5 linked regions of the Oryzias latipes genome follow. The protein of the gene in region 1 purifies or fractionates together with the protein of each later gene. This does not show direct contact. Links are inferred from orthologs where the notes say so. Each region holds a gene or a part of one and is shown in the gene's direction. Other genes may lie near its edges.

The links. The genes of interacting proteins can lie anywhere in the genome.
Region 2: the proteins of usp15 (region 1) and tut1 purify together in Homo sapiens (affinity purification with mass spectrometry; 4 studies listed by BioGRID and IntAct, with this or other methods). This does not show direct contact. The link is inferred for Oryzias latipes from reciprocal best matches to the Homo sapiens genes USP15 and TUT1.
Region 3: the proteins of usp15 (region 1) and rnf40 purify together in Homo sapiens (affinity purification with mass spectrometry; 4 studies listed by BioGRID and IntAct, with this or other methods). This does not show direct contact. The link is inferred for Oryzias latipes from reciprocal best matches to the Homo sapiens genes USP15 and RNF40.
Region 4: the proteins of usp15 (region 1) and mothers against decapentaplegic homolog 3 purify together in Homo sapiens (affinity purification with western blotting; 4 studies listed by BioGRID). This does not show direct contact. The link is inferred for Oryzias latipes from reciprocal best matches to the Homo sapiens genes USP15 and SMAD3.
Region 5: the proteins of usp15 (region 1) and prpf3 purify together in Homo sapiens (affinity purification with mass spectrometry; 3 studies listed by BioGRID and IntAct, with this or other methods). This does not show direct contact. The link is inferred for Oryzias latipes from reciprocal best matches to the Homo sapiens genes USP15 and PRPF3.

The regions. Positions count from the first base shown.
Region 1 is NC_019881.2:6,936,941-6,940,440, forward strand, and holds part of usp15 (ubiquitin carboxyl-terminal hydrolase 15), read left to right. Parts: coding exon 1-38; intron 39-283; coding exon 284-399; intron 400-788; coding exon 789-938; intron 939-1,195; coding exon 1,196-1,299; intron 1,300-1,882; coding exon 1,883-1,971; intron 1,972-3,500. UniProt on the Homo sapiens protein: Hydrolase that removes conjugated ubiquitin from target proteins and regulates various pathways such as the TGF-beta receptor signaling, NF-kappa-B and RNF41/NRDP1-PRKN pathways.
Region 2 is NC_019877.2:4,397,502-4,400,873, reverse strand, and holds the end of tut1 (speckle targeted PIP5K1A-regulated poly(A) polymerase), read left to right. Parts: coding exon 1-73; intron 74-447; coding exon 448-570; intron 571-818; coding exon 819-911; intron 912-1,555; coding exon 1,556-2,670; 3' UTR 2,671-2,872; downstream 2,873-3,372. UniProt on the Homo sapiens protein: Poly(A) polymerase that creates the 3'-poly(A) tail of specific pre-mRNAs. Localizes to nuclear speckles together with PIP5K1A and mediates polyadenylation of a select set of mRNAs, such as HMOX1.
Region 3 is NC_019877.2:9,338,498-9,341,997, forward strand, and holds part of rnf40 (E3 ubiquitin-protein ligase BRE1B), read left to right. Parts: intron 1-49; coding exon 50-167; intron 168-254; coding exon 255-404; intron 405-1,738; coding exon 1,739-1,951; intron 1,952-2,043; coding exon 2,044-2,169; intron 2,170-3,051; coding exon 3,052-3,192; intron 3,193-3,312; coding exon 3,313-3,414; intron 3,415-3,500.
Region 4 is NC_019861.2:12,626,459-12,628,669, reverse strand, and holds part of mothers against decapentaplegic homolog 3, read left to right. Parts: intron 1-1,724; coding exon 1,725-1,848; 3' UTR 1,849-2,211. UniProt on the Homo sapiens protein: Receptor-regulated SMAD (R-SMAD) that is an intracellular signal transducer and transcriptional modulator activated by TGF-beta (transforming growth factor) and activin type 1 receptor kinases.
Region 5 is NC_019874.2:18,954,479-18,957,819, forward strand, and holds the end of prpf3 (U4/U6 small nuclear ribonucleoprotein Prp3), read left to right. Parts: intron 1-624; coding exon 625-768; intron 769-851; coding exon 852-951; intron 952-1,030; coding exon 1,031-1,144; intron 1,145-1,248; coding exon 1,249-1,367; intron 1,368-1,626; coding exon 1,627-1,704; intron 1,705-1,991; coding exon 1,992-2,044; intron 2,045-2,133; coding exon 2,134-2,283; 3' UTR 2,284-2,841; downstream 2,842-3,341. UniProt on the Homo sapiens protein: Plays a role in pre-mRNA splicing as component of the U4/U6-U5 tri-snRNP complex that is involved in spliceosome assembly, and as component of the precatalytic spliceosome (spliceosome B complex).

The DNA.
Region 1 (3,500 bases):
AAGTGAAGAAGAAATATTTTGATGAAACGATTGTCGAGGTAAACCGACATTTTACTGAATTTTTTTTCTTTTAAAGTTCTTGAGTTTATCACTCAAGAGACACTAGAACTGTTTTTCATTGGCGAGTCTGTTCATTGCATGCTGATAAATTAAATGGATAAAGATGCAGGAAATTAGTAAGGGATTTTCAGAATAAAATACACAAGTGAATTTGCCAAATAATCTTTAAGAAGAACCGTTTTTTGTTTTGTTTTGCTCCGTTTTTGTGTCCACCTGAGAACAGGACTTTGACAAACACGAGAGCATGGAGTACAAGCCTCAGAAGAAAGCTTTCTTCAAGCTGAAAGACTGCATCGACCTGTTCACCACCAAGGAGAAGCTGGGAGCCGACGACCCGTGGTGAGAAAGCAGCTCCACGCCTTCCTGCAGCTCCCTCAGGACAAGCCCAGAGCTCGTGGAACAGTCATGAAACCATCAGGGGGAAATGCTTTGTATTAGTGCAACTGTTAGAAACCCATAAATTAGACCTACATTTGCAGCAGGTTAGGTTAGGATAGAAACGGCAGTAAAATATTAAGGTGCTTGCCATGTTTTTCTTGAGGATCTGCGTACAAAGTGTGTTCCTGACATTTCACATTTAGTTCCCTGCATGATCAGAAATAGAACGGGAAGCCCTCAGCTGGATGCAATTTATAATTGATGTTGCTAAATGTCACTAATTGAACCTGCTTTGGAGCTACTCAGTCATTTAAAAAAAGAAACATGTCTGGCCGCGTCTCTGCTTACAGGTACTGTCCAAACTGCAAACAGCACCAACAGGCTACCAAGAAGCTGGACTTGTGGTCTCTGCCACCAGTGCTGGTGGTCCATCTGAAACGTTTTTCCTACAGTCGCTACATGAGGGACAAACTAGACTCGCTGGTTGACTTCCCACTCAGGTACACACACACGCACATCTTCTCATCTTTATATATTTGTGGGGTCCAAGCATGCATTTGACATCTTCGTTTAGGTGATTTAAATCAAAAAATGTGGTACAATAATAAACAGTTCATTAATATATGTCATACTTTGTTCAAGACCACCTTTTTAGAGATCAACTTGAAGCTTTAAAATTAAAAAAAAACCTGAAAAGAGCTTTTTTTAGTAATGAGGTTAGTTATTGACCTTTAAATTCTCCGTTTTGTGTCTTTAGAGACTTGGACATGTCTGAATTCCTGATCAATCCCAACGCCGGGCCATGCCGCTACGACCTCATCGCTGTCTCCAACCACTACGGAGGGATGGGAGGAGGCCACTGTGAGTTGGTTCTGTTTCCTTTTTTTTTTTGGAAAGGAATGCAACTTTTCTGTCATGTCTCATTCTCTGCAAAGGCTGTTCAAAGATGAACAACACAGTTCACTTGAAAAACTTCCCATCAGCACCTCTGACCAATTGCCTGCCTGTCTTTCCCTCAAGGGATTCTGGGAAGTGAAGTTGTACAACATTATCTGACCATTTTGTTTGGCTGAATGCGTCTTCTGATCGGAAATTCAAACACGGCATTCACACACCGATGCTAACACTGTTATGAATAGAGGCAGAACTCTTTTTTTTCTTCTATTTTTCCTAATTTGAGATGCAGCTTTTGTTGATTAAAATAGCTTCATATTGTTGTTTTTTTACAAAGCTGTCTTCTGTGATGCAGAACAAACTCTAAGCAGGTTTTTATGGCTATGAAAAAAGCAAACTGCATCCACTGCTGCCTGGCGAAATCCACTTTTATTTTAAGAAAATAATGTTGCGTCTCTTTTCAGGGAAAACATCAAGCCATCATTATTTTGCTAACCTGTCAATCAATGAATAAACTCTTTATTGGGCTGCCTTCTCATGTGCCCCACAGACACCGCTTATGCTAAAAACAAAGACGACGGAAAGTGGTACAACTTTGATGACAGCAGCGTGTCCCCTGCTAGTGAAGATCAGATCGTGGTGAGTGTCCTCCTTCAGAAAGTCGTGCGGTGTTTGTTGGTAAGAGGAACTAGATGATTTCATCCGAACCGCACATCGGAACACCTAGTGTTTCCAACTATGACAAACACTGTAGTGTTAACCCTTTAACAGCAGAGCGGTCACGCTCTTTCAACATCTTTGACCAATGACGTCATTAACGTAACTGCAGTGGATTCTGAAGCAGAGAAAAGTAGCTTTGCGCCGATGTGCCATAGATCAGCGGTGACCAACCCCCCGGCCGCGGACCGGTACCGGTCCAAGGGTCATTTGGTACCGGGCCGCAGAGAAAGAATAAAGAACTTGCATTACTTCTGTTTTATTTATTTTGGAATCTGAAAGATGTTTTATTTTGTAAAATTGCCCGATTCTCTGTAACATCCGTCTATGTCAAGACCAAGGCGCTCTTCTCGGTCACGTGATAGGTTACCGCTGAAATATAACCCAGGAGCTAGCTAAATGAGTTAAAAAACAAACGTCTTTGGAAAATTTCTTTGCCAGGGGGGAAAACGCCCAGCCAGGAGACAGAAGAGGAGCCTTCCACTTCCAAAATAAAGAAAGCTACATTTAATATACAGTACGTCTTTTTTGCACCATGAGTGTAGGAAGGGGAGAGGATGATGACACCTGTGCGACGTACAATACCTGTCAAAATAAAAGCTCAGAGTTCGTATTGTAATGTCTCTGTTCCTTCCTCATCGTAGCTTTGCTACAATAATTGTCCGCCACATCTTCAAGACCGGTCCGTGAAAGTTTTGTCTGACGTCATACCGGGCCGTGGCATTACAAATCGTTGCCATACATGACTACGGTAAAGTTTCGCATTTCGGCTCAAAGCTGTTTCTCTCTGCTTCAGAATCCACGGGAATTCCGCTACTTGTGTAAATGGTTGAGGAGACTTGGACATTGACAGAATGTCAACACGGGTGCTAAACGTGGTGTCTCACAGCCACAAAGTACTTTTTTGCCTATGTTGCCTAGATAGAAATGAGTCATACGTGAATATGCGAGGGAAAAAAGTTAGAGAAGTTGTGGTCTTTACATGAAATTTACTACAGATGCATGACGAATGACTCATGTTAAAACCACGGAAGAAATACGACTAAACCACGCAATGATCACGTAAATCAACGAACATGAAGCGTGTTTGATTATTGTGCTGTTTATATTCAATTCATTAGTGATTCGTGTGTCAATTATGAAAGTTTAACATGTGTGCGGCGATTACGTGATATAAAGGTTATAATTCAGTGGTCCGTGCGAGAAAGGTCATAGACATACGTGGAAAAGTGGCAGAAAGTCACAAATTTGCATGTGCATCTCGCAAAAATCGCGCACAATTGCGTAACATTTATCTAATAATTGCGAATAGACGACATAAAATACGCGTAAACGGGGAAACCAAAAATTTAGAAGAGCTCAAATTTGAATTTACGCAAAGCCTGAAAACCCTTGACAAACATCTGGGCACATCAACGAATGACGAACGCCATATATGTATTTTTTCATTA
Region 2 (3,372 bases), on another chromosome or scaffold:
TCTGGGATGGAGGAGCGCCTGAGGCCTCTGGTGTACACCATCCGATTCTGGGCCAGGCAGAAGAAGCTGGCTGGTAACGTGCTCTTATTTTAAGAACCTTTTGGGGTTTTTGTAAGCTCATAACCATTTTGTTTTTGTGCGATAAGAACAGTGTGGAAAATAGTTCTTGGTTTGAATTGGCTGCTATTTCATTCTTTGACCAACAGGTGTCACTGGAGCTGCACCGTGCTTCTCTAAACACAACTAGACTTTTATTTTGAAGTAAATGTTTGACTCAAAATGTATTTTGTATCATGTCAAACATGTCATCTTGGAGAAACATAGTAAAATATATAAACTTTATTGTATTTTTGAGCACAGAGTCAATCTAAACAGGAGACAAAGCAGCAGATAGACTGAATAGTTTTATTGACTTTTTGGATTACAGTTTCCTGTTTTGACCTGCAGGTAACCCCAGCGGCGCCGGCCCCCTCCTCAACAACTACGCTCTGACCCTGCTGGTCATTTTTTACCTGCAGAACTGCGAGCCTCCTGTTCTCCCCACAGTGGAGCAGCTGAAAGACATGGCCTGTAAGTGCTGCCTTCCTCTGATGCGTTTTTAAGCATTTTCTCCATTTTCTGATGACCTGCAGCTATGAACAGGAAGTGACCGCTGCTCTATAGGCTGAAAGGATAAAAGGGAAAAAGCTTGAGTTGGGATGTTTGAATACATTTTCCTCTTCTAGGGTTTTGTTTGTTTAGGTGCCGCAAAAAATATTCTTGCACATTTAAAAAAATAAAATAAATTAACTTTATTGTTTTGGTTTTTCTCTGTGCAGGTGAGGAAGAGGAGTGTGTGATTGAAGGCTGGAACTGCACCTTCCCCAGTCAACCCATTGCTGTGCTTCCCAGCAAGAACACACAGGACCTCTGTAAGTGACTTTAATCAGACAGAAATGTCCTTTACGGCACCGGTCCCCCACCCCCGGTCCCTGGGACAGTTGGTACCGCGTTAGGGTTCCGTTTTATTTATAATCTGATTCTGAAGGAGGTTTTATTTTGAAAACTAATGGAAAAGAGTCAGTGAGGAAACAGAAGAGGAGCTTTTGAAAATATCTGCATTCAACAGACAAATACCAGGAGTCTTAGCTCCAAATATGGATTTATTGTGACATTTGTTCCCACACACCATAATAATGATGCAGAAAATCCAACAACCGGCTGTCTAATGTTAAGAGGATGCTGCTAATAAAGTTGTTTAAATTTTAATTTTCCGTCGGAAGTTGAAGTCGGACGAGGCTGAAGTTGGCGTCTTATTTTTTATGCTTCCACTTTGATAGTTCTGGGTTAAAAGAAAATCTGTGTCCCATGTTAAGGGTCTCTACATGAAATCTTAATTTAAAACAGCTGCAGGTATTTTACAGAGGATGAACCTTTCTCACAAAATGAAGGGAAATTAGAGTCTTCGACTTCAGCCTCGTACAGAACAGTCTGTGAAAATATTGTGTGGCGTTCAAGCGGTGGGGGATTTCTGCTTTATGGGGTCTAAATGTGACTTTCTGTCTTCCTCCTGCAGCCTCCTTGCTGGCTGGTTTCTTCTCCTTCTATGCAAAGTTTGATTTTGCCAGCAATGTCGTATCCTTAAGGGAGGGGCGCGCACTTCCTGTTGTAGATTTTCTTGGCAAAGGCAAAGAAGAGGAGGAAAACCCCCCCAAAGGCAGTCGCCAACACCCCAAATTGGGCTCCATGACTCTCCTGGATCCTTTTGAGCTCTCCCACAACGTAGCCGGAAACCTGAACGAGCGCTCCCACCACAACTTCCAGAGGGAATGCCAGGAGGCGGAGAAGTACTGCCGCAGCCTGCAGTACCAGCACAAGTCCGCCAAGGGCAAGTCATGGGGGCTGGTGCGCTTGTTTACCCCTCATGGGGAAGTCTCGCTCAACAAAGCAGAGCAGCTGAGCATCAGCATCCCTTTTAAATCAACGTCGCTCCCTGAGGCGATGCGCAGCGAGCTGCACACGGCGGGAGAGGATTTTCGCCGTCTGTGGTTCCAGAAGGTTCTCTCTGCTGTGGAACAGGTGTTCAGAGCCGTTCTCCAGTGTCACCTCACGGTGTCCTCTGACGCTGCAGCAGGAGAGGAGGCAGCAGAAGGCCCGCCAGCTTCCATGAACTCCTCAGGAAATGACAGTTTTGATGGCGTTCCACCTCAGACGGAACAAAGTCCTCAGGACGCGGTGGTGGTCGGAGCAAAGAGGTTGCTCTCTTCAGGCAGCGACACCTCAGTTTCGCCCCAAGGCAAAAAAGCCAGGCTGATGAAAAGAGGAAAGCCGGATGCGCCCCCGTGGATCTGTACGCAGAAGTATCCGGTGTGGGCCGGCAGGAGGAAAGTGAAGCGGGAAATCCTGAAGGGCCCGGACTCCGGGGCCGAGGGCAGCTGTGCAGAGCTGGAGTCCAAGGTCACAGCCCACATCCAGGAGAAAGAAGCCCAACTCAAGGAAGCCCTGGAGTTCAGAGTTCAGCCCCAGGTGGTGGGGGGGACAGAGAGCACAAAGGCGGTGCTCCGGCTGCAGCCTAGCAGCGACAAACCGGGAGCTTTCCACGACTTTTTTCACTTTCTGGAGGTTTTTGTACCCAAGATGGTCGACACGTTGCTGGAAAAAGAAGCGCAGAACCAGATGACTTGTGACTAAACTGAGCCACAACACAGATGTTCCTCAGCAGAAATCAGAGATTTACTTTAGTTTGAATGTTGGTTTGACGTCACAGTGTTACTGTTTTCATTTATACTGTATTTTTGTAATAAAAAGGGAATTATTGTTTAACGTTTCTGTTCAGAACGGCTCAAAAAGGCTGAAACTTTGAAAATAAAAAACATTTTTTGGCTGAAGGAGAGTCGGGAACATTCATTTACTCGAGCACCACATCAACACATTTTACTGAAAGACCCCCACACGCATTTCTCTCATGATGGAGGACATATATTAGGAAAATTGGGATTAAAATGGCATTTCTTAGTTTTTCCTAATTCAAATTCTTTCTTAGTTTTTCCTAATTCAAATTCTAATTCAAATCATTGAATCATTGAGGATCAGATGCAGCGTTAGAAATCAGGGGGAAAAAATGGTTGTCCTCCAGACAACCAGGCAAGTAATATTTGGTTGTCCTCCCCAATTTTTGGTTGTCCTTCGATACCAATATTCGACAGCAACGAAACCTACTCAGATGTCAGTACTTGCATCTTTAGTTTTTCTATACATCTAATATCAACTGCCTCTTATGATGGACATTTAAAAAACTCTTTAAATATTAAAAACAAACTTTTTACTAAATATTGAAGCATCTGGTTACACAAAGTATTGCCAAAAACTTGAAACTAATATCTTTATGAGTAT
Region 3 (3,500 bases), on another chromosome or scaffold:
AAATTCTTTCTCTCATCTAATGTCGAAATCGAATGTTGAACTTTTTCAGGAAAGCTCAGGAATCCCAGAAGGAGATGAAGCTCCTGCTCGACATGTATAAATCTGCTCCAAAGGAGCAAAGAGACAAAGTGCAGCTGATGGCGGCGGAGCGCAAATCTAAAGCAGAGGTTTTTTTTTTCCTCTTTGTTTACCCTTTCAGTTCATGAATAGATTTAAAAGATGAATGCTTAACCCCTTATCTCAAAAACCTCCAGGTGGAAGACTTCAGGATGCGAGTGCGAGAGCTGGAGGAGAGGGAGAGGAAAGAAAGCAAGAAGCTGGCTGATGAAGATGCCCTCAGGAAGATCCGCGTGGCTGAAGAAACTATTGAGCATCTACAGAAGAAACTTGCTGCAACTAAGCAGGTATTTTTGTCTCTCAATCCCATTCTATCAAACTAGAAAAGTTTTATTTGTACACGTTTCAGCCACAAAAACATCCATATCACAATTCATTATTTTCTACTGTCACATAAAAGTTTGACATTGACGGAAAAACGGAGATCATTGACCGTACAGATGTTGAAGCCTTTGGGACTTCACTGAGATGTATACAAGCTGACAGCTGTTGTGGAGTGAAACTAGTGTGATGATTATCATGTTTGCCTCCTAATGTTAGACTGGAGCTCAATAGGAACTGAAAGCTGCTCTCATTTCTCTGCTCTAATCAGCTGAGTTCACATGAAACCAAACCTTACTGTCCTGCTTTGAAGCAACAAGATTGTTGCTGATAACCTGCAGGTTTTTTGTTTTTGTCTCGTCTTTGTGCTTTTGTTGCATTGTTGGTCAACGGTATTCAAAATCGTTTCAGTAAAGAATTTGCTATAATATATTTAATTACCTCAAAATATTTATTTATCAGTCTTTACTTGCGACAAAACAAAGATTCAAAAATGAAAAGCAACAAATTTCAAAAACTAAAATGTGGATAAATTCTTTTGGATGTGAAAGATTGTTGTGGGTTTTCACCTCGATTCTAAATTGAGGGGAGACTAAATTTTTATGGAAAAGATCATATGAAAACCACAATTTGAAATATATTTAATTATGATTTGCATAGATGGGGGAAAAAACAGTCTTGAGAATCTTTGTTATTTCAGTGTTTGGAGTTTGAGGGGCAAAAATAGATTGGATGGAGTCTGTCGCTCATCATCATCTGAACACTTTTGTATCTCATTTCATGCCATGAAGATATTTTTCTTTTTTATTTCAGTTGAAAGCTTGTAAAGCTGTGTATTAAAAGGTTGAGTTTTACAAATGAACCAAAAACAGTTTTAGTTGCATCAGGGGAAAAAAACTGTGGTTTTTAGATGTGTGGCCATAAATAACGAAGCTTAGTCTGTCAGTCTTGAGGTTCAGGTTGCAGTTCCTCAAATGATCACCAAGAGAAAGTTGCAAAAAGGAGCTACCGGTATATAAATGAGGTCGATCTGTTGCGTGGGTTGTGTGTTTGTGTGCTCTGTCACACGCAAATCACACAATGTTCAGGTGCCACTCTGATATGTGTCTTTATTTCAAAAACCTTACATTAATATGTTGCTTTAATTGAAAGTGTGACAAAGAGCTTGTGTGAAGCCTTTCATCCTCACTCTATGAGTAGTTTTCTTTCTCTTCCTAACATTTTAAACAGCGGTTTTTCAGGTTTATTGCTTCGGTCTCTACATATTTTCCCCTAAATCGGCTCTTGCTTTTGGTTTCAGGAGGAGGAGGCTTTGCTCAGTGAGATGGATGTAACTGGACAGGCCTTTGAGGACATGCAGGAGCAGAACAGCCGGCTGCTGCAGCAGCTACGGGAGAAGGACGATGCCAACTTCAAGCTGATGAGTGAGCGGATCAAATCCAATCAGATCTACAAACTGCTGAAGGAGGAGAAGGAGGAACTGGCTGACCAAGTTCTCACCTTCAAAACCCAGGTGGGACGTGACTCCCCCCTAAACCTGAAACTGACAGGTTTCGTACTCGAAAGCAGGAAAAACACCAATTTGCTACTTTTGCTCTCCTGCAGGTGGACGCCCAGCTGCTGGTTGTGCAGAAGCTGGAAGAAAAAGAGGGAGTCCTGCAGAGCACACTGGCTGCTTTGGAGAAGGAGCTTGGTGTCAGAACACAAGCGCTTGAGCTCAACAAGAGGAAGGTGAGAAGAGATGTCAGCCGGTTCCCCTTCACCCTTTTACAGCGGAGCTTTAGCTCCAGGGTTTTCATTCTTTCAACTACTGCAACTTTTCAAACATGTACAGCGTTGACGTCATTTCAGCAGATTCTGACGTTTTCAGCTTTACGCTGATGTTGCAACACTTTGCTTTAGTCGAAGAGTTGCGGTATGTCAAAGAGTGTGTGTTATTTAGGTGACGCCAGTGACACCTCCGGTGATAAAGGGTCAAAGAACAAATGATGTGCATAAAGTAATCACCAAATAAAATAAAATATAAAAGCCCCCCCCCCTATCTGATGTATTTGCATGGTGCTGTTAAAAATACACCTACTGATGAAAAAGCGAGAAGTGGGACCCTGCTCTTTGTTTTTTTACATAACATTTGCTGTGATTCAGCCATGACTTTGTTGTCACTTTTCAAATCTCGGTTGGCCAAAATCCCAACCCATTTATAGATGAATAATTCATGGTTTGATCACGTTGGTTAAGCCTGTGCCAGTAGGGAAAAATGCAGAAGGTGTCAATCAAGCTGTCGGCTGACTTTGCTTGCATTACACTTCATTTACAAAGGGAGCCTCTTACCTGTTTATTCATTTTAATGAGAACATTTTCTGGTTAAGTTAAGCTCAGAACAGGGTAAACTAGTTGTATCCTCTGGCTGTCTGCCTTAATCACCGAAATCAAACCAAAATCTTGAATTGCAAATCATTCTTTGAAATCTATTGTTAACAGGAAAAATGAAAACAAAAAGATTAGCCTCATTTGCCACTTTAGCCATGCTGACTCAACCTCCCCTCTGCCACTCAGGAATCCAATTTAGCTGCTGTTTTCACTGAGTGTTCCTGCTTCCTTCCCCTGCTGCAGGCGGTGGAGGCCGCTCAGCTGGCAGAAGATTTGAAAGTGCAGCTGGAGCACACTCAGGCCAAGCTGAAGGAGATTCAGGTCTCTGTGGCGGAGAACCGCACCGCCCGCGAAAGAGAGAGCAGCAACCTTAAGCGGGCGCAGGTACGCCAATTCCCAAGCGCATCATGTCGATGAAAATCTGCTCAAGTGCCTCCTGAGTTTCTGGGTTTGGGTTCATGTGAAGCATTAAGCTCTGAAAACCGTGTCCTCTCACCCCTGTAGGAAGATCTATCCAGACTAAGACGGAAGCTTGAGAAGCAGAAGAAGGTGGAGGTATACTCTGATGCAGATGAGATCCTACAGGAGGAGATCAATCAGTACAAGGTACAGTTTCCAGTTGACTTTAAACCCACGGCTGGAAATGGGAGCGCAAAAGTACCAGCTGCACAGCACATTGAGACTAATTAAAT
Region 4 (2,211 bases), on another chromosome or scaffold:
GTCCCTCCACGTTTTTGTCATTCAGTTTAAAAACTGCTTCACATGAATGAATACTTTAAAGGAGCCGACATTGGGAAGCATTTGTGTTGTATCCGGTGAGCTGCTGTCCAGTTGATTCCAAAACTTCTGCATCCTTTAGCTTGATGAGACTTTTAACACAGAGCCAGCAGTTTAATCCCTTTGTTCAAATTTTTTTTATTTCTGCCTTAAAAATGTGAAACATCTGGATCCAAACCCTGAATCATCAAAGTTCAATCCCACTGTTCTCGTTATCAGCTCCAGTCTGTCCTGTCCATTCTGAGGTCAGAGAGAACAAAAGAATCGTAAAGATTCAAGAAGGAGAAAGTTTAGAAAAAGAAGCATATCAAATATAAACAGCTATACAGCAAAAAATGTAAAAGACATGAAGATCAGTCCACTTTGAATGTAGCACATTTGACAAAAGACGCTTCAAGATCAAGCTTCAAATCGTATTTTTTGTCTTTCTGCCTTATTGGTCAAAGTACGGCCTCATTTAAAGTCCCACTCCAATCCTCTTTGATCTATTGTAAAAGTATCCCCACTGCTCTTTTAATGAGGATTTTCAGTCAAAAAAAACAAATAAAACATTAGTTCATTAGAAATTTACCTCTGAATTGAGGGCAACCCCATTGGTGCAAAGTAAGCCCGCCCCTATTTCCCGTCATCCATCTGATTACACTTTCTCCCACTAGCTTACAGCCCCAACCGAACATTGCAGATGCAACAAAAACGGGGAGCAATGTTGGAGCAGATAACAGTTCAGACGAGGAAAACAAAGACGTTCATGGATCTATTTGTCTGCAAGTGGATACATCAGAATGGAGCAGAGCAGGGAGCTTGTTGCCCACTAATTATAGCTTGTATGTCACCTCTACAGGCTTTCGCCAACTGTATTTCTGCTCCTAATTCGCCATGATTACAAACACAACACAATTTACATCAGAGTGGGTCTGCCAATAGGTCATTTTGGAACGAAAGTTCTCAGAAATTGCTAAACGTTCTGTTCTTGAACTCTTGTTTAAGTAACCCTGACAGAGGCTGCAGACGCGCTTTGACGTGGAGAAAGAAAATCAACAGTCACGGGTTACAAATCCAGCTGATGTGTGTGGAGGGCTGGCCTACTGGTCACTGACATGAACCCTTGGCTGGTTGGTCATTGGTTCAAGTCCCAATTCTGACTTGAAAAAGTCATAGTAAAGTAAAAAAGCCTTTGCTCCACTGCTGTAATGCCCTTGAGCAAGGCTCTTAAGAGGAGCTGTTCCGTGAACAGAGGTTGACCCGGGTATCTCCCAGGTGAAAAGAGTTCCGTCTCAATGGGTGTCTCTTATATAAATAAAGGGATAAAAAACAGCTTCAGACAGTGACTCTAGTTTTAAGTGTTCTATGAATGTGAAAAACATCTTATCTTGTTTCCATGATCAGATTCAGTGCCAGACAGAACAAAACCTTGCCGTCTTGTTAAAGCAGTTTTATGACGCTGTGCAATAATAATTGCCATAATTCACAGAAAAGTCGAAGCCTCGTCTTACTAAACAGCAGGAAGTTCAGCTGCAGCTCAGAATAGATCCAGTTTGATTGCATATGCCAAATATCAGGGCTAAAATCGATCAGGTGTTTGTTTTTCCAGGACTTGATGTGTTTACTTACAGGCAGAGCGGCTGGTTCTGCATCCTCACCATCTGTTGTCTGTGTGTGCGTCCCAGGCGGCAGACAGTGACCAGCACCCCCTGCTGGATCGAGCTCCACCTGAACGGCCCTCTGCAGTGGCTCGACAAGGTGCTGACACAGATGGGCTCCCCAAGCATCCACTGCTCCAGTGTCTCCTAGGGGGAGCTTCCCTGCCCCCCCCCCCCCCCCCCCCTTTCACGAAACTGAAAACACAGATAGGAAGAGCAGCCCGAGAACTACATGATGACACGCCTCTCATCCAGCCACTGTTTGTCCCTCCTCGCTGCCAGTAGCACTTTTTTTATTTTCTAGTTGCAAAAAGGGGACACGTGCATTAATGCAGTATCAGTTTAGGAGGATCTCAGCATATTGGTCTTTTTTCTTTTTTCTTTTTTTTTTTGAAGGTCATTGTCATTTTTGGCATCTGATAGCCAGAAAGGCAGAATTATTTTTTTATTTCCTGTTTTTTTTTAATGTCTTGTTTATTGTTTATAGCTGTTGGATACATTTTACACTCAATTA
Region 5 (3,341 bases), on another chromosome or scaffold:
ACCGTAAAGTAAGTATCCTAGTCCAATAAACTTTTGAAAAGTGATTTGTTAACCACTAAATTAGAAAATTGTAGCTATATCTGATGAAATCCACTGTAACATGTCCTCAGCTAACATCCTGTTAGGCACCCCTTGCCAGACTTAATCCCAGTTTTGACTGTACAATATCTAAACTCTTCCTGTGGTCAAAACTGGTCTCTAAAGACATTTGTAAGGGATTTTTGTCTAAGTATTTTTTCTCTTTATCTGTAAACTTTAAAGTCTCAGACTGTTTTGAAGAACCATTCCAATTACCATTTTTCTGCCTCAGTGTCTTTAATGAATTTTTTTTATTATTGTGTGGAGGAACTTTTTTTTTGTCTTGAAATGGCAAACTTTGTATCAAGGAATGTTCCTGAGGAAACAAACATTTATTTATTATAGTAAATGCAGAGCAAAAAATTTGCCATCTCTAAGTTAAAAGTACACACATTTGTTTTTCTGTGTAATTTTTTTAATGCTTCTAGCTTCTTTCAAGGTTCTAGAATAAAATGTTTTATTTGACATGTTTGACAGAAAAAGCTCTGATTACATTCATTCCATTAATATTAGTTATATTCTTTACAACTGTTCTTCTTTTCCCAGTGGACACTGATAAACCAGTAACCCTGGGTGTGTATTTGACAAAGAAAGAACAGAAGAAACTAAGGAGACAAACGCGGAGGGAGGCACAAAAAGAATTGCAGGAAAAGGTCCGTCTTGGATTGATGCCACCACCGGAACCTAAAGGTACTTGCACACAAGTGAACATTGTTCTATGCCTGTAATCAGGTCAAGTAATGGTACATGATGATTTTTTTTGTACTTTTAAGTTCGTATCTCCAACTTGATGAGAGTCTTGGGGACGGAGGCGGTCCAGGACCCCACTAAAGTAGAGGCCCATGTGAGAGCACAGATGGCAAAAAGACAAAAGTAGGTGTTTTGTTACCGTGAGAATCCACAGAGACTCACATTTTTCTTAAGTGTTTTTCTAACAGCGACACTTTTTCAGAGCTCATGAGGAAGCCAATGCAGCTCGAAAGCTTTCAACAGAGCAAAGAAAAGAGAAGAAGGTCAAGAAGTTGAAAGAAGACCTCACTAACGGAGTTCACATTTCAGTGTACAGGTATGCATTTGAGGACGGGAACAGCAAATATATATATTTTTAAATATCTGTTTTCAAAGCTCTTTTTACACCTTGAAAACCAATATAAATGTTGTATCTTACAGAATCCGTAACCTGACAAATCCTGCAAAGAAGTTTAAGGTGGAGGCCAATGCAAACCAGCTGTACCTGACTGGAACAGTAGTTCTGCACAGAGATGTTAATCTTGTTGTTGTAGAGGGAGGTAAGGAAGAAATCTGTTTAAATTATATTGATGTCCTTTTATATTGATCTGCTGAAACTTAATAACACATTTATTGACATGTTTCAATTATTACTGTTTATATAGCCTTTCATTTACTGTTTAGAAGATTTCATTATAGAGAGAAAATACTGATTTTTTTTTTCAATTGAACCTCACTTGATCTGAACTGGGAAGAGAAAATGCCAGCAAATTCATATATGAAATGTAATAAAGAATCAATTGTCTCTTTCCCTTGAAGGCCCTAAATCCCAGAAAAAATTCAGGAAGTTGATGCTGCATAGAATCAAGTGGGAAGAACACAGTAGCAAAAGAGATGGTAAGATTACTGCTTTTGTATTGCTGCTATGGAAAAACGTCTTAATTGATTGCAAATTATAAAAAATAATAATCGCAAGTTTAAGAAATTATGTGTCTGAGATTTGCAGTTTATTTATACAGCTATGGGTAATTATCTTTTGTAGCTTTTAGTTTTCACCAACCACTGATAACGGTTCAAAAGTGGTTTATGTCAATTATCAGGACACAAGCTATTTCTACATACCGTACTATTGTTGGCTCAGTGTTTGCTTCAAATAAAATATGCTCACATTTTTCAAATCTTAGATCCAGATGTTGATGACACAAAGAGAAACAACAAGTGTTGGTTGATTTGGGAGGTGAGTGAACATGCATTTATTCTGTTTCCATTGCACATTTAGAACTTCTTTAGTCCATCCAAGTCTAATGGTTCCTTCTGCTTCCTTAGGGAACAGGTAAAGATCGAAGTTATGGAGAGATCAAGTTCAAGCAGTGTCCCACAGAGAGCATGGCCCGAGAACACTTCAAGAAGCACGGAACAGAACATTACTGGGACCTTGCCCTCAGCCATAGTGTGTTGGACGGCACCGATGATTGAAACCTTCGAGGGGAGAGATCTGTTTCAAATAAGGACTGCTACAGTCAAACCTGCAGACCTGCTGCCTCACAATAGCCAGAATTATCTATTGGCTGCTGAGGAGGAAGGAACAAAGACTCAATAAAGAGACTTCAACAGAAAATACGGGGCACATTAAACCTGTTTTTCTAAGAAAAAGTGAGCTCCTGTGTATACAAGGCAGTATATGTAGTTTTGCATTTAGTTGATTTCATTGGATGCAAGTCTGTCCTGTTTAGACCGACTGATTCCGACCTAAATCAGTCTGTTTCGGCTCATTTTCTGCTATAAAATCCTCAACTTAAATCATATTGTCTTTGTTGATTAGGAAGAATGTCCTAATGACAACACACTATCACTAAGTTGACCTTTTACTTTTTGAAGTTTATTTTTTGAAACCTTGCTTTTAGACACCTTTCACACAGTTACCGCATCATTTATTTTTTGACCCATCAGTGTGTTGACCCCCTATCCACAGAGGTTAGCCATGTTTCCTTGTAACATTTAAAACTGCCTTAATTAAAAAATGTGAAAAAAAGACTTCATCTTTGATTTTGTTTGCTAACCGCTTCAATTGCCTGGGTCATTTCATAAGTTTTTAGCCCAAATAAAAAAAAAAAATACCGAGTTAAAATATTGGTGTGTAGGTTGGTATTTTTATGGCATGAAGTTAATACATATGTAATGACTCGCGGGGGGCGTGGTCTCCCCTGCGTTGCCTTGTCTTCCATCACGCCTTCGCCCTCGTCCCTATCATTAGTTGATAGAGCTTGAAATATGGCGGCCGGTTCCGAGGCTGCGAGCGGCCAGGGAGCTCGCAGCTCCACCGCTGCATTGGAAGCGTCGTTGGACCGCCGGTTTCAGGCAGTGTCTAACACCATGGAGTCGATACAAGGACTCTCAAGCTGGTGCATTGAAAACAAGAAACATTACAGCCTTATTGTTCGCTATTGGATGAAGTGGCTAAAGAAATGTGAGTAGTTTCTCGCTGAAGCTAACTGCTAGCCTGTAGCCAGCATATTTAAGCTGAGTCAAATGCA